3 linked regions of the Macaca mulatta genome follow. The protein of the gene in region 1 purifies or fractionates together with the protein of each later gene. This does not show direct contact. Links are inferred from orthologs where the notes say so. Each region holds a gene or a part of one and is shown in the gene's direction. Other genes may lie near its edges.

Region 1 (4,076 bases):
TAGAAGCTTTGTAACTATTTTTTCTCCTTTAACCCCGTCCCTTAAGAGTACACTATGGCTTCTTGAAAATCATCTTAAAAAGACTGATTAAAACAAAAACCCAACAACAACAACAACAACAAAGCAACCCCTTAATCAAAGGCTAGAGCTTTTCTAGAAGTACCTTTCAACTCACTAAGGGCTGGGAAGGAGAGTGCACTTTTTTTTTTTTTTTTTTTTGGAGACAGAGTTTCGCTCTGTCACCCAGGCTGAAATTCAGTAACAATTCAGTGACAAGTTTCTGCTCATTGCAGCCTCCGCCTCCGGGGTTCAAGCGGTTCTCCTGTCTCAACATCCCGTAGCTGGGATTACAGGCGTGCACCACCACACCTGGCTAATTTTTGTATTTTTCTTTTTTTAGTACAGACGTAGTTTTACCATGTTGGCCAGGCTGGTCTCGAATTCCTGACCTCAGGTGATCCGCCCTCCTTGGCCTCCCAAACTGCTGTGATTACAGGCGTGAGCCCCCACTCCCAGCCGAGGGTGCACCTTTGAGACTAGGTTTCTGCAGCACACATTCATTTTGGTAATCAAGGACATTATTGCTGGATATAAGACACGAAGAGCAAGTCAGGAGCAGATGTTCCAGGCTGTTCGAGGAGGAAGGTGACCACGCCTCATTAAATAACCAAGGATGTCCCAGTCAGGAACAAGTGTGTTAAGTTTTAAACCTGTGTCTTCGCTCTTGAAAAGCACCTGGAAAATGGACGCGGGTTTGCTTCTAATCTGCAGTCCTGCTTGCAGCCTGAGGAGGACGTAAAAAGCCTCGGGGCCAGACAGCTCCAAAACGGGGGCGTTACCCTCTTAACTTTCTCTCCTCCTCTAGACGCAGAGGGCATATCTTCACGCCTCCTTTCCCCAGCCCACGTCCCTGTTCTCCAACAACAACCTGCATGTCTCCTTTAAGAGGCGGGGGCCGTCCCTCCCTTTCTCCTCCCAGTCTCCCGCCCTTCACACCTTGGGTGGGAAAAGAGTGTGGGGGCGGGGTAGCCGGCAAAGCGGGAGGGGCAGGATCACGAAGAGCGCTCCAATGGCTCTCGAGGCTGGCCACGGTGGACTCCGGCAGCCAATGAGCAGCAGGCGGGGAGGCGTGGCGGGGCGCTGTTGCAAAGCGTCCAACGTGGGCCGGCAGGCGGCCGCGGGGTGCGGAGCCCAGGGGGTGTGTGCGGGAGAGCGGCCGGGGGCGGGGCCTGGGGGACTGGCCGGGGCTGGGCCGCGGGGAGGCAAGCAGCAAGCGGCTGATTGTTCGGCCGCGAGGTCGGCGGGACTCTTGCTGCGCCGAGGAGCCGTGCGGAACCCAAGGCTGCGCGCGCGCTCGCCCTCTGCCCGTGGCGCGCGGACAGCGAGGCGCACGGGGACCTCCTAGCGCGCGCCGTCCAGCCCGGGGTCTACGGCTTTGCGCTCTGAGCCGAGAGGAAGATGCCCGCCGGCAACGAGCTCGGGCTGCGGGGCTGAACGCCTGCCTTCCAGGCGCAGCGGCAGCACTGCCCTCGGCCGGTGTCTGTAGCGGCACTCGGCGTGCGCCGGGCGGACGAGGAGCGCAGCCTGGGTACGCCCTGCCCGAATCGGCAGAGTTCGCAGCGAGCGCGGGCGGGCCGGCCGGCCCGGATGGGCGCGGGGTTTGCGGCCCCCGCCGGGTGCTGCGGAGCGGCCCGGGCACCGGGGGCCCGCTGAGTGCCGGAGCCGCGGCCTCAGAGAGAACTTGGGGCGGGGGCCATGCCCCGGCGCGGAGTCTAGAGCCTAGCGGAGCGCCCCGCGGGCCCGCCCGCGTCTGCGGCCGTTCGGGTCCTCACAGTCCCCGCGCCCGGAGTTCGCAGCGCGCTCCAGACAAGATGGCGCGCCCGGTCCGGGGAGCGCTCGGGGCCCCGCGCCGCTCGCCTTGCCTTCTCCTTCCCTGGCTGCTGCTGCTTCGGCTGGAGCCGGCGACCGCCGCGGCCGGCCCGCGGGCGCCCTGCGCGGCCGCCTGCACTTGCGCTGGGGACTCGGTGGACTGCGGTGGGCGCGGGCTGGCGGCGCTGCCCGGGGACCTGCCCGCCTGGACGCGGAGCCTGTGAGTGCCGCCCTTTCTGCCCTCCTTGCACCCCGGGGCTCTGTCACTCGGGGACGGGGCGGCGGGGGTTCGTACTCAGGGAGGGGGTGTGGACTGGGTTGTATGTATGGAGTTGTGCGTGCTGGAAGACTGTCAGCTTGGGTTGGCGGAGGGGAGACCCTGCGTGGAGGTCCGGGGGAGTAGGCGTGCGAGAGAGCCTGGAGGAGAAGAGCATTCCTGGTGAGGTCTGGAGACGAGCGAGCGTGGGTCGTAGAGGTTTGGGGGTTAGCCAGCACGCGTCGTGCGGGCCGTGTGGGAGTTAGCGAGTGGGAGTCTGGAGCTGAGTGTGTTTGCGTGTGGGTGGGTGGGAAACGTCTGGAGCAGAGTGTGAAGAAGTCTGTGTGGGGGTCTGTGGGTGCGTTTCCTTTTCCTCTCCTGTAATCCAACTCTTTGGTGTCTGAGCTCCTTGGTTTTCCAGTGGGTAATGAATGAAGGTGACTTTTGGCTCCAATCTTTCGGTTACATTATTTATTAGTTGATAGTGTGTGTAGCCGTCTCCTGATCCCCAAAGACCATGGTGGCCTGACTTGCCTCTCTGCGGGGCAGAAGGCAGTCTTTCCCCGAGGACCCCTGAGTTAGAGGGCTTTGACAGTTCCTGGCGACCTGTGAGTGCTGGGAGTTTGTCCTTTTCCGCCTGGTTGGCATACGGAACTGTGTTCCAGACCCTTCCTGTGTGTTCCCTGGGGCCCCATTGGACTTGCTGATCCAGTGGGGTGGGGCCCACCCTCAAGAGTCTCTCCTCCATAAATGGTGCAAATGAGTTTTGGAGTAATGCTGCTTCAGGAGAGGGTGCCGGGGTCTTGGCTGATTTAAGCAATTTGTTTCACCCGAAAGAGGCTCTTTTCTGTGCTGTCAGGATGTGGGCATATTTAGGACTTAGTGGGACACTTCTTACAGGAGATTTGGCAGGAAAAAAAGGCATTAGCCTTCTGTAAACATGGTAGAATAGAATAGCCTTCTTTTACTTCTAAAAAAAATCTGGTCCATGAGTCTAATCCTGTTCAGTTATCGGTAATTAGCATCTCTGTAGAACTATTAGTACCTTTCCAGAAAAGGCCTAGCTTAAATAGTCCGCATTTCGGTTGAATAATTGGACATTTTTCCTAGAACATAGGAAAGGCACAGCAGTAACCTCAGGCATGACTATGGCTGTTTTAAAAAGAGAAAACTGGTGTCACAAGTTGTAACCAGCACCTGTGGCTTGATTGAAGAAAATGTGGCCTGGGTTCTGAAGGGAAGAAAAGTTAATTCCTTTTAAATGCAAAGATTCTGTACCTCTCAAAATGGGGCACGAATCTTTAACTTGGCCCCAGACACTGCTCCATCAACAAGTACTACAGAGTTCTGAAGACGACCAGGACCCTTTAGTTACAGTTAGATTTTCAATATCTACTTCTTCTATGGAATTTACTGAGTTAGTGAAAATCAGTGATCGTAGGGTGGAGGCACAGCTGTGTTAAGTACTGTTAGATAGAGCCCAGTATTGTCCTTAGGTAGTATCTTATTTAGTCTGGGGTATTGTGATTTTTCCCTTATATACGGTAGTTTTTTTTTTAATTGAGTCATGTGGGCAGAATCAGATTAACTTCTTAAGTGTTCACCTGTTGGAAGAGTGACTCCCAATGCCATGTGTCAGTGGCATTGTGGGGAAGGCATTTAGTTCCACAGCAGTAACTTCCCAGAGAGGACAGGGTGTCCTCTTATTTGCACTTTCCTATGGTCACAAGATCCACTTTGCCTTGCCCTTTAATTTTTGGAGCAAACATACTGGTTATTTCTTTAGGCTTTCTGTTGCCCAGGAGTGACATTTCACATGGCATAAATACCTTCAAAATTGAAGTTCTTCTCTTTTACTCACACATTTGATGACTGATAAATACCAAAGTGGGTATTTTGAGCATCAGTAGACTTTAGTATACTGATTATGGTGTTGACTGATTCGATTTTA
Region 2 (3,518 bases), on another chromosome or scaffold:
ATGGGAGACTCCCAGAGGTCTCTGCAATGACCAGGGCCCCGGTTGCCCCATGCCCCAGCTACAACTCCAGCTGACCCTCCTTCCCCACTCTCTGGGTGGCACTGCGGGGGTGTGGATCCCTTGCCAAGAGGTTGGCACATGGGTGTGCTGGAATGGCATAGGGAGAATGCACCGAGTTTGTTTGCTTGGGAGAGGGGCAGGGGGCATCCAGAAGATTCAGGATTCGTCATCGCCTCTCTTGGGGGATTTTTACCCCTTGGCCCTGAGTTGTGCCTTTGGGACAAAGGAAGCCTTTCTTTGCCAGCCAACACCCTGTACTGGCGGGTGAGCTCCACAGGGCTGGCACGCTGGGGCAGCCTCTGGATGCACAGGGTGGGCCTAGTCAGAAGGAGCCTTTCCCCTGAAATCCCTCTACTTCCCAAGCACACAAGCTTTCTCCTGCTGTTAAACCTGCAGTGTGCAAGGGATGTCGGCGGAGGGGTCCTTCAGTCAGCCTTCTCCCTGTCTGAGATGAAATGACTCTGGGAGTGAGTTTGGGTGGGGAGGCCAGGTCCAAGAAGGTCCCCCGCCCGTGTCCTCTGACCCATCTGCTCCCTCCTGCCAGTGTGCACCGGCACAGACATGAAGCTGCGGCTCCCTGCCAGTCCCGAGACCCACCTGGACATGCTCCGCCACCTCTACCAGGGCTGCCAGGTGGTGCAGGGTAACCTGGAACTCACCTACCTGCCCACCAATGCCAGCCTCTCCTTCCTGCAGGTGAGGCCCGTGGGCAACCCAGCCAGGCCCTGCCTCCAGCTGGGCTGAGCCCTCTGTTTACAGGTGGGTGGCAGAAGAAGGTGCCCTGCCCTTTGTTTCCTCTTTTGTTGTGGTTTCTCAACCAGGAAGTCCTTTCTAACGTCTAACCCCCATTCATTTTACTGCAGAATCAGTTGACTCTCTCTCTAATGTGGCTGGCCGAGGTCATCTCTGGATGGGATGCGTCTGTGTTTCCGCTAAATCTTGTGCTCTCTTGCCAGCATGATCATGTCCCCCGTCCACCTGCCCCAGCCACTATCCTTCTCCCATCTACAGCAGCAGAAAGGGCTGGTGAGAAAGGTGGATTACAGGCCCAGTTCTGCCACTGATGAGCCCTATGAATGTGGCCTACACCCCCTTAGCTTCACGGGGTCTCAGTTTCCCTATCTGTATATTGGGAGCAATTGTGAAGCTCAAAAGAGAAATGTCTATGAAAAGATTATGAGCAGGAGAGAGTGGAAACCAACCTGCTGGGTCGTGTCCACGGACCCTGGAGTGGGGCCATGTGCTTGGTTTGTCAAATTGCAGACGCCGGCTGAGCACGGTGGCTCACGCCTGTAATCCCAGCACTTTGGGAGGCTGAGGTGGACAGATCACCTGAGGTCGGGAGTTCGACACCAGCCTGACCAACATGGAGAAACCCCGTCTCTAATAAAAATATAAAATTAGCTGGGAGTGGTAGCACATGCCTATAATTCCAGCTACTTGGGAAGGCTGAGGCAGGAGAATCGCTTGAACCTGGGAGGCGGAGGTTGCAGTGAGCCGAGATCATGCCATTGTACTCCAGCCTGGGCAACAAGAGCAAAACTCCGTCTCAAAAAAAAAAAAAAAAAAATTGCAGACGCCATCCCATCCAGGCCTTTGCTTTCACTGATGAAGAAACTGAGATGCAGAGAGGGCGGGGTACCTGTTCAGAGTTTACGAAGTGCCCCCCCACCATTATCTTTCTTGATCGTATAAGAATCTGGTGAGGCAAGGTGGGGCGTGATCTTTATCTCCATTTTATCGTTTTATATAAGAGGGAACAGGACTGCTCAGTGGCTGGGGGCCTTGCCCAAGATCTCCAAGTACTGGGGAACCTCAGGGAGGCCCTGGGGGTGGCAGTGTCCCTGTTTCAGCCCCACCCTGCTTCCCCCTTCCAGGATATCCAGGAGGTGCAGGGCTACGTGCTCATCGCTCACAACCAAGTGAGGCAGGTCCCACTGCAGAGGCTGCGGATTGTGCGAGGCACCCAGCTCTTTGAGGACAACTATGCCCTGGCCGTGCTAGACAATGGAGACCCGCTGAACAATACCACCCCTGTCACAGGGGCCTCCCCAGGAGGCCTGCGGGAGCTGCAGCTTCGAAGCCTCACAGGTGGCCTTCGCCGTCATTGAAACCTTCTCTTGGTTATTCAGAGCTGACCAGGGCCACTGCTAACCATGGGGAGGCTTTGTGTGCATTAGAAATGGTGTCCCTTCTGGGCAGACGCAGGCAGAGCCTGGGAAGACACCCTGAGAAGACTGGAAAAAGATTCCCCTTCTTCCTAGGAAGCTGCAGCTTACGTCAGCGCACAGAATTCAATCATGAGAATGCAGGCTGGGTTTTTGCCCCCACTTGGCTGAGTGAAGTGTACAGTGAACAGCCTATGTAACTGTTTGCTGGCCCTGGAGCTGACTCTGCCCCAGAGTCTGGGTGCCAGGTGCTTTGCCCGCATGGCCCATTTCAGTCACACTGCAGTCCTGTCAGGAAAGAATCAGTGTTATTCTCATTTTACGTATGAGAAAACTGAGGCTTGCAGAGATGTGAGTGATGGGGCTGGGTTTCAGACTCCACGGTCTCTTAACCACCAAGCAACACGTCCGGAGTAGAGGTGAGAGGGAAGGAGAAAGCTGCGGTCCACGTGAGCATCTGGACGTAGCATGGACAACTCACTCCTCCCTGGCTCTCGCTTTGTTCATGTTGCGGGGGTGGTGGTGGTGGGGCTCAAAGACGGTGACGATATCTTTCTCTCCTCCCTGGGGAATCTGGGGTTGTATAAAAGGCCTGCTCCTCTTTTAGAAGGCAGGAGGGCCCCAAGGGAAGCAGAAGGTGACAGAAGGGGAAAGGGTCCCCTGATCATTGCTCACCCCACAGAGATCTTGAAAGGAGGGGTCTTGATCCAGCGGAACCCCCAGCTCTGCTACCAGGACACGATTTTGTGGAAGGACATCTTCCATAAGAACAACCAGCTGGCTCTCACACTGATCGACACCAACCGCTCTCGGGCCTGTAAGCCATGCCCCTCCCTGCTGCCTCTTCTCTCAGACAGCCTGACCCCAGCCCCAGACTCCCGACTTACAACCCAGTGCCTGCCCGCCACTGCCCCAGCCGCCTACACCCATTTCCTCCCTCTCTGTCCCTCCTGCCATCTCTCTGTGCCTCTTCATCTCTGGGGTTCTCTGTCCTGTCTTCCTCTGCTTCTAGGCTGTGCCTATGGTTTGGGGGCCTCTCAGCCTGTCTGGGTCCCTCCTTCACTGTGCAGTTGGCCTCGTGGCCTCTGCTGCTGTTTGTGTCTCTCTCCGTTATTAACCCGTCCTCTCACTGTTAGACATCTCTCTCACTGCCTCTCCCTGGTTCTGTCCTCAGGCCACCCCTGTTCTCCAGTGTGTAAGGGCTCCCGCTGCTGGGGAGAGAGTTCTGAGGATTGTCAGAGCCGTGAGTCTCAGGGAGGCCTGGAGTCAGGGAAGGGGAGGGCCAGGACC
Region 3 (4,133 bases), on another chromosome or scaffold:
AGGGAAAGCTTCAGGCTTCAGGCATCTGTATTTCCTATCTGTTCTCAGCTCCATGGAAATTCTTAAGGGATGGAGCTATAGATAAGAGAGTGGGAAATGGAGATCCAGGTCTCAAATGAAAGGCAGGGTGGTTTGATTTTTAAGCTCCCCTGATACTTTTTATTTATATATTTGCTGCTTCTAGAAAAACCAAAAAAGGAAAGTGATTCATACATAGAATGCCTGTACAAATAGTAACTAATAACTTACTACCCCCAGGAGATTCTGGTCCTTGCCAGGGTGCGGTTTCAGAGCTGTAAAAGGCAAGGGATATGAACATTGATATGACCCAGTCCCAGAATATTTTAGATTCAGAAAAGGTCAGAGATTTTCATAACTAGCAATGACCTCCGGATTAGGGACCATGAATGTGCAGAGTGAGGACAAGGAAAGGGCCTAAAGCTGGGTCTACTGTAGAAGAAGCAGAATCATTTAAGGTTAATTATGTTCTGATGTGGCCTCCTTAAATACTTTCAGGTTGAGACAATTTCTAGCCCTTTAAGATTAAATCAGTGGCTTTGGACTAGAATCTGCTTAATAAGAATGAACTCCAAAGGTGAAAAAAACATAAAATCTAAAAATCAAAGGGTATGGCTTTATAAATGTGAAATTTTAGTTTGGCTCAATGTCGGTCAGTTTGGAAATGTGGGAATAACCGGAGAGATGGCATAACTGGGGGCGGGAGGCGGGGCGGTGATTATATCCCTACCACCACCTAATCCTCAGGGGCTACTAGTTACTTACTGTGCACACTTTTAAAGTACTTTCTAATTGTGGACCATGAGTGGCAGAGTGCTGCGGGCGGAGGCTTTTTGCTGAAAGCAACGTTGACTTTTCTTTTATTTCTAGGGAAAGTCCTGTCTGTAGATAAGCACCGTGGGACAATGGAGAAAATGCTGACTTGTTTTTTTAAAAAATCTTTTCTGTAAGCGCCCCTCCGATGGTCTGTCCACTCTGCGGGCCAGCTGTCCCAGGCCTCTGCCAGGGAGGGAAGAGGAGTGCTTCAGTGCATGGCTTCGGTGAGCCCTTTAAATCCAGCTTCCCCTGCCCCCACCAAGCTGCTCCCTCTCCCTGACAGGTGTTTTCCCAACTCCGGAGGCCTAGGATTTTGGGGAGTGGCTGAGCCAATGAGATTTCCCTTTGGGGCGGGGGGCGGGGGAGAAGGGCGTGGCTAGTTGGGTCAGAGCATGGGCGGGGTTTGCGCGGCTGAGCAGAGCCTGCCTGGTTGCGTGGAGGGTTGTTTTATTCCCACCGCCCCCCCCACCTTTTTTTTTTCTTTTTTTTTTTTTTTTCTGGAGTCTTATTAATTTCTCTGTGGGCTGCAGCTGGAGACCGCGGAGCGTTGGAAATGACGCTCGGAGCTTTAATTACCGCAGCCGCCGGACAAGTGTGAGGAAAGCTGACAGGAAAAAGAAGGACGGGATCCGGGGAGAAGCGAGAAGCTCCCCCCGCCCCGCTCCCCTCCCCATTTGGACTGGAGGTGCAAGGAAACTGAAGAAGGAGCAGAACACAGCCCGGCTGCGGGGAGAGGCCGGAAACCTACTGCCTCTTTGCAATCAACTTTTTTTGGAAACCTTTCGCCCCCCTTCCTTTTTTATTGTTGACCAACCAGTGAGAGAGAGAGAAAGTGAGGAGGCAGCGAGCAAGCGAAGGCTCACGCGGGGAAATAACTGCACAGTTCGGCCCGGACCGCCACGCGCACACACCGAGCACACTCCAACACACGCACACTCGCCCCCTCTTCGGGCCCCGGCCCTGGACCCGCGGGCGCGGACTAGGTCGCCCGCCCTGGGAGTCGCTACACCGCGCGCGCCGCGCCCGCCCCCCTCGCGCCCCCACGCGCGCCCGGCTGGGGGATCTCCTCCGCGTGCCCGAAAGGGGGATATGCCATTTGGACATGTAATTGTCAGCACGGGATCTGAGACTTCCAAAAAATGAAGCCGGCGACAGGACTTTGGGTCTGGGTGAGCCTTCTCGTGGCGGCGGGGACCGTCCAGCCCAGCGATTCTCAGTCAGGTGGGTTCCTTCTGGCGCTCCGGTCGCCTAACCTGCCGCCGCCGGCGGGGCTGCCTTGAGTGGCTCCCCCGCCCTCTTCACCCATCCCGGGAGGCGTGGAGGGACCGCTCGACCGGGACTTCTTCCCTGGGCTCTCGGTCGCCCCTCTTTCCATTTGAAACTTACCCTGTATGTGTGCCTGTGCTTTATCGTGAAGAAATCACTCTGAGCCCCTCTTTTTTCTCTCCTTAACCCCCTGTTTTTCTTTCCCGAGCGTTTTGTGTGGGAGCCTAAGCGGGATCCCTTCTGGTGGCGCCTGTTGTTCGGGACATGGGAGACCCAAATCCCCAGTCAGAGGAGACTCTCCTGTCCCTGTCTGGTCCCTCGAGGGAGGAACCCTCACCGCCGGGGCCGCGGAGGGCCGGGGTCCTGGGGAGGTGCTGGCTGGGCCTCTCCCGCGCCAAGCCTGAAGGGCGGTGGAGAGTGGCGCTCAGAGACCCGGGCTTTGCACCTGTGTGTGCTGCCGGCGGCCGCTGCGCCCCCAGTCGCCCAAGCCTTGTGGGGTCAGACGCGACTCGTACCCAGCCCGGGCAGCAAGAGTGCAGCGGGCGGGCGCGCCTCGGTCCGGGGTCTGGAGCTCTGGGCCTCTTCGGCCTGCTTCCCGGAGCCCTCGCCCCATTGACTTGAGGGGCGCTTGCTCGCCTGCATGACCTCTTAAAAAAAAAAAAAAAAGGCTTGGCACACTCGAGCCAGAAGCCGGGCCTTCCCGTCGGTTGCCGTGTTTGGCTCCTGGAAGAGTTCTTCCTGTAGTTCAACTTGCTATTGGCCGGAGTCCTTCAAACTTGTCTGTTTACTGCCTGGCCGGGCTGCCGAGCCTGCGGGTCACTGGATCCACCCGAGGCGCAAGCGGCGGCGGCGGGTGCGCGGCCACTGCTTGCTGGAGAGCTCGAGCCCCAGGTACCTGGGCAGGCAAAGGGCTAATTGACCCCGAGAGGCAGCGCGGCGGGGTTGGAGCGCCAAGGCTTGCAGGACTAATGACAGCACCTGCAGTGCAAGGAAGCTCAAAGTTTCTGACACTTGAGTTTCCTGGGGATGAAAGTGGGACGGGAGAGGTCTGAGGAGGACCGGTGTCTGATGCGGCCAAGGGGTGCCTTTTGGAGAGCCAGGGAGATTTCTGAAACCATTCGGGGATGGTGACTGGAGCGTGGGAAGTAGCTTGAGGTGATAAAGCCCCCGGGAGTGGCGATAGGGAGCGCTTTAGGCCCCCGGAGGGTGTCCTTCTGACCTCACCAAGGAAACAGCAAGCTGTAGTTTTCCCGCTCCGCCCCCGCCGCCGCCGCCTCCTTTGCCTAGTAAACAACAAGTTACAATCATCGAGGCTTTCAAAATGACCTTCGAATGGCACATGTGCGGCGTTTTGTGCTGGCTGTTTGCACCCTCCCAATTACTCCGAAATTCTTCACGCATACCAGGTCCCGCGCTCCAGCCACCCCCGGAATCACACCAACACGGACTTGACATTCCAAGCGGCCTCTTAGATACATCTCTTTTTATCTCCCTCCCCACTTCGAGTCCCTTCATATTTTCCCTCAATGGGTTGATTATACACATTGACCCATTCAAAGGCAGTGGCGACCGACATGCAGGCTTAGCCGAGAGGAATTTCTACGAGGCGACCTACTGGGGGCTGGCTGGTTCAGCCTCTGCCGCTGAGGGACCCCGCTCCGAGTCCGCAGCAATTTGGTATTAACTGTGCGGCTCCGGGTTGAGCTATGCCGAAAAGCCCTTTTCAGAATTTCTGCAAGGAATGTAATCCAAATTAGTTCTGCAGCTGTCCTCTTCCTCGTCTCAGGCGACACCAGCTCGCGCCCTCGCTCATCTCTTCTCGTTTCGTTGGGCGAATTGTCAGACCCACAAGTGAGCCCATTTAGAGCGCGAGGATTAGCGTGCCATTGTTCCGTGTGTGACTCTGTACTTGAAATTCTGGGGGCACAAAGGCGAGTCTCACTTGTTCAAAACACAAAGTGATCCAGATGAAAGGGCCGTACAAAGAAAAACTCTCGGGTGCATCCCTGGTATAATTGCAACACGCATACTAA

Evidence for each region.
Region 2: the proteins of LRIG1 (region 1) and ERBB2 purify together in Homo sapiens (co-immunoprecipitation; 4 studies listed by BioGRID and IntAct, with this or other methods). This does not show direct contact. The link is inferred for Macaca mulatta from reciprocal best matches to the Homo sapiens genes LRIG1 and ERBB2.
Region 3: the proteins of LRIG1 (region 1) and ERBB4 purify together in Homo sapiens (affinity purification with western blotting; 3 studies listed by BioGRID and IntAct, with this or other methods). This does not show direct contact. The link is inferred for Macaca mulatta from reciprocal best matches to the Homo sapiens genes LRIG1 and ERBB4.

Annotation. Positions count from the first base shown.
Region 1 is NC_133407.1:130,049,193-130,053,268, reverse strand, and holds the start of LRIG1 (leucine-rich repeats and immunoglobulin-like domains protein 1), read left to right. Parts: upstream 1-1,268; 5' UTR 1,269-1,871; coding exon 1,872-2,089; intron 2,090-4,076. UniProt on the Homo sapiens protein: Acts as a feedback negative regulator of signaling by receptor tyrosine kinases, through a mechanism that involves enhancement of receptor ubiquitination and accelerated intracellular degradation.
Region 2 is NC_133421.1:64,059,979-64,063,496, forward strand, and holds part of ERBB2 (receptor tyrosine-protein kinase erbB-2), read left to right. Parts: intron 1-604; coding exon 605-756; exon of another isoform or gene 757-819; intron 820-1,937; coding exon 1,938-2,151; intron 2,152-2,835; coding exon of another isoform or gene 2,836-2,910; coding exon 2,911-3,045; intron 3,046-3,402; coding exon 3,403-3,471; intron 3,472-3,518. UniProt on the Homo sapiens protein: Protein tyrosine kinase that is part of several cell surface receptor complexes, but that apparently needs a coreceptor for ligand binding. Essential component of a neuregulin-receptor complex, although neuregulins do not interact with it alone.
Region 3 is NC_133417.1:117,705,181-117,709,313, reverse strand, and holds the start of ERBB4 (receptor tyrosine-protein kinase erbB-4), read left to right. Parts: upstream 1-1,333; 5' UTR 1,334-1,973; coding exon 1,974-2,055; intron 2,056-4,133. UniProt on the Homo sapiens protein: Tyrosine-protein kinase that plays an essential role as cell surface receptor for neuregulins and EGF family members and regulates development of the heart, the central nervous system and the mammary gland, gene transcription, cell proliferation, differentiation, migration and apoptosis.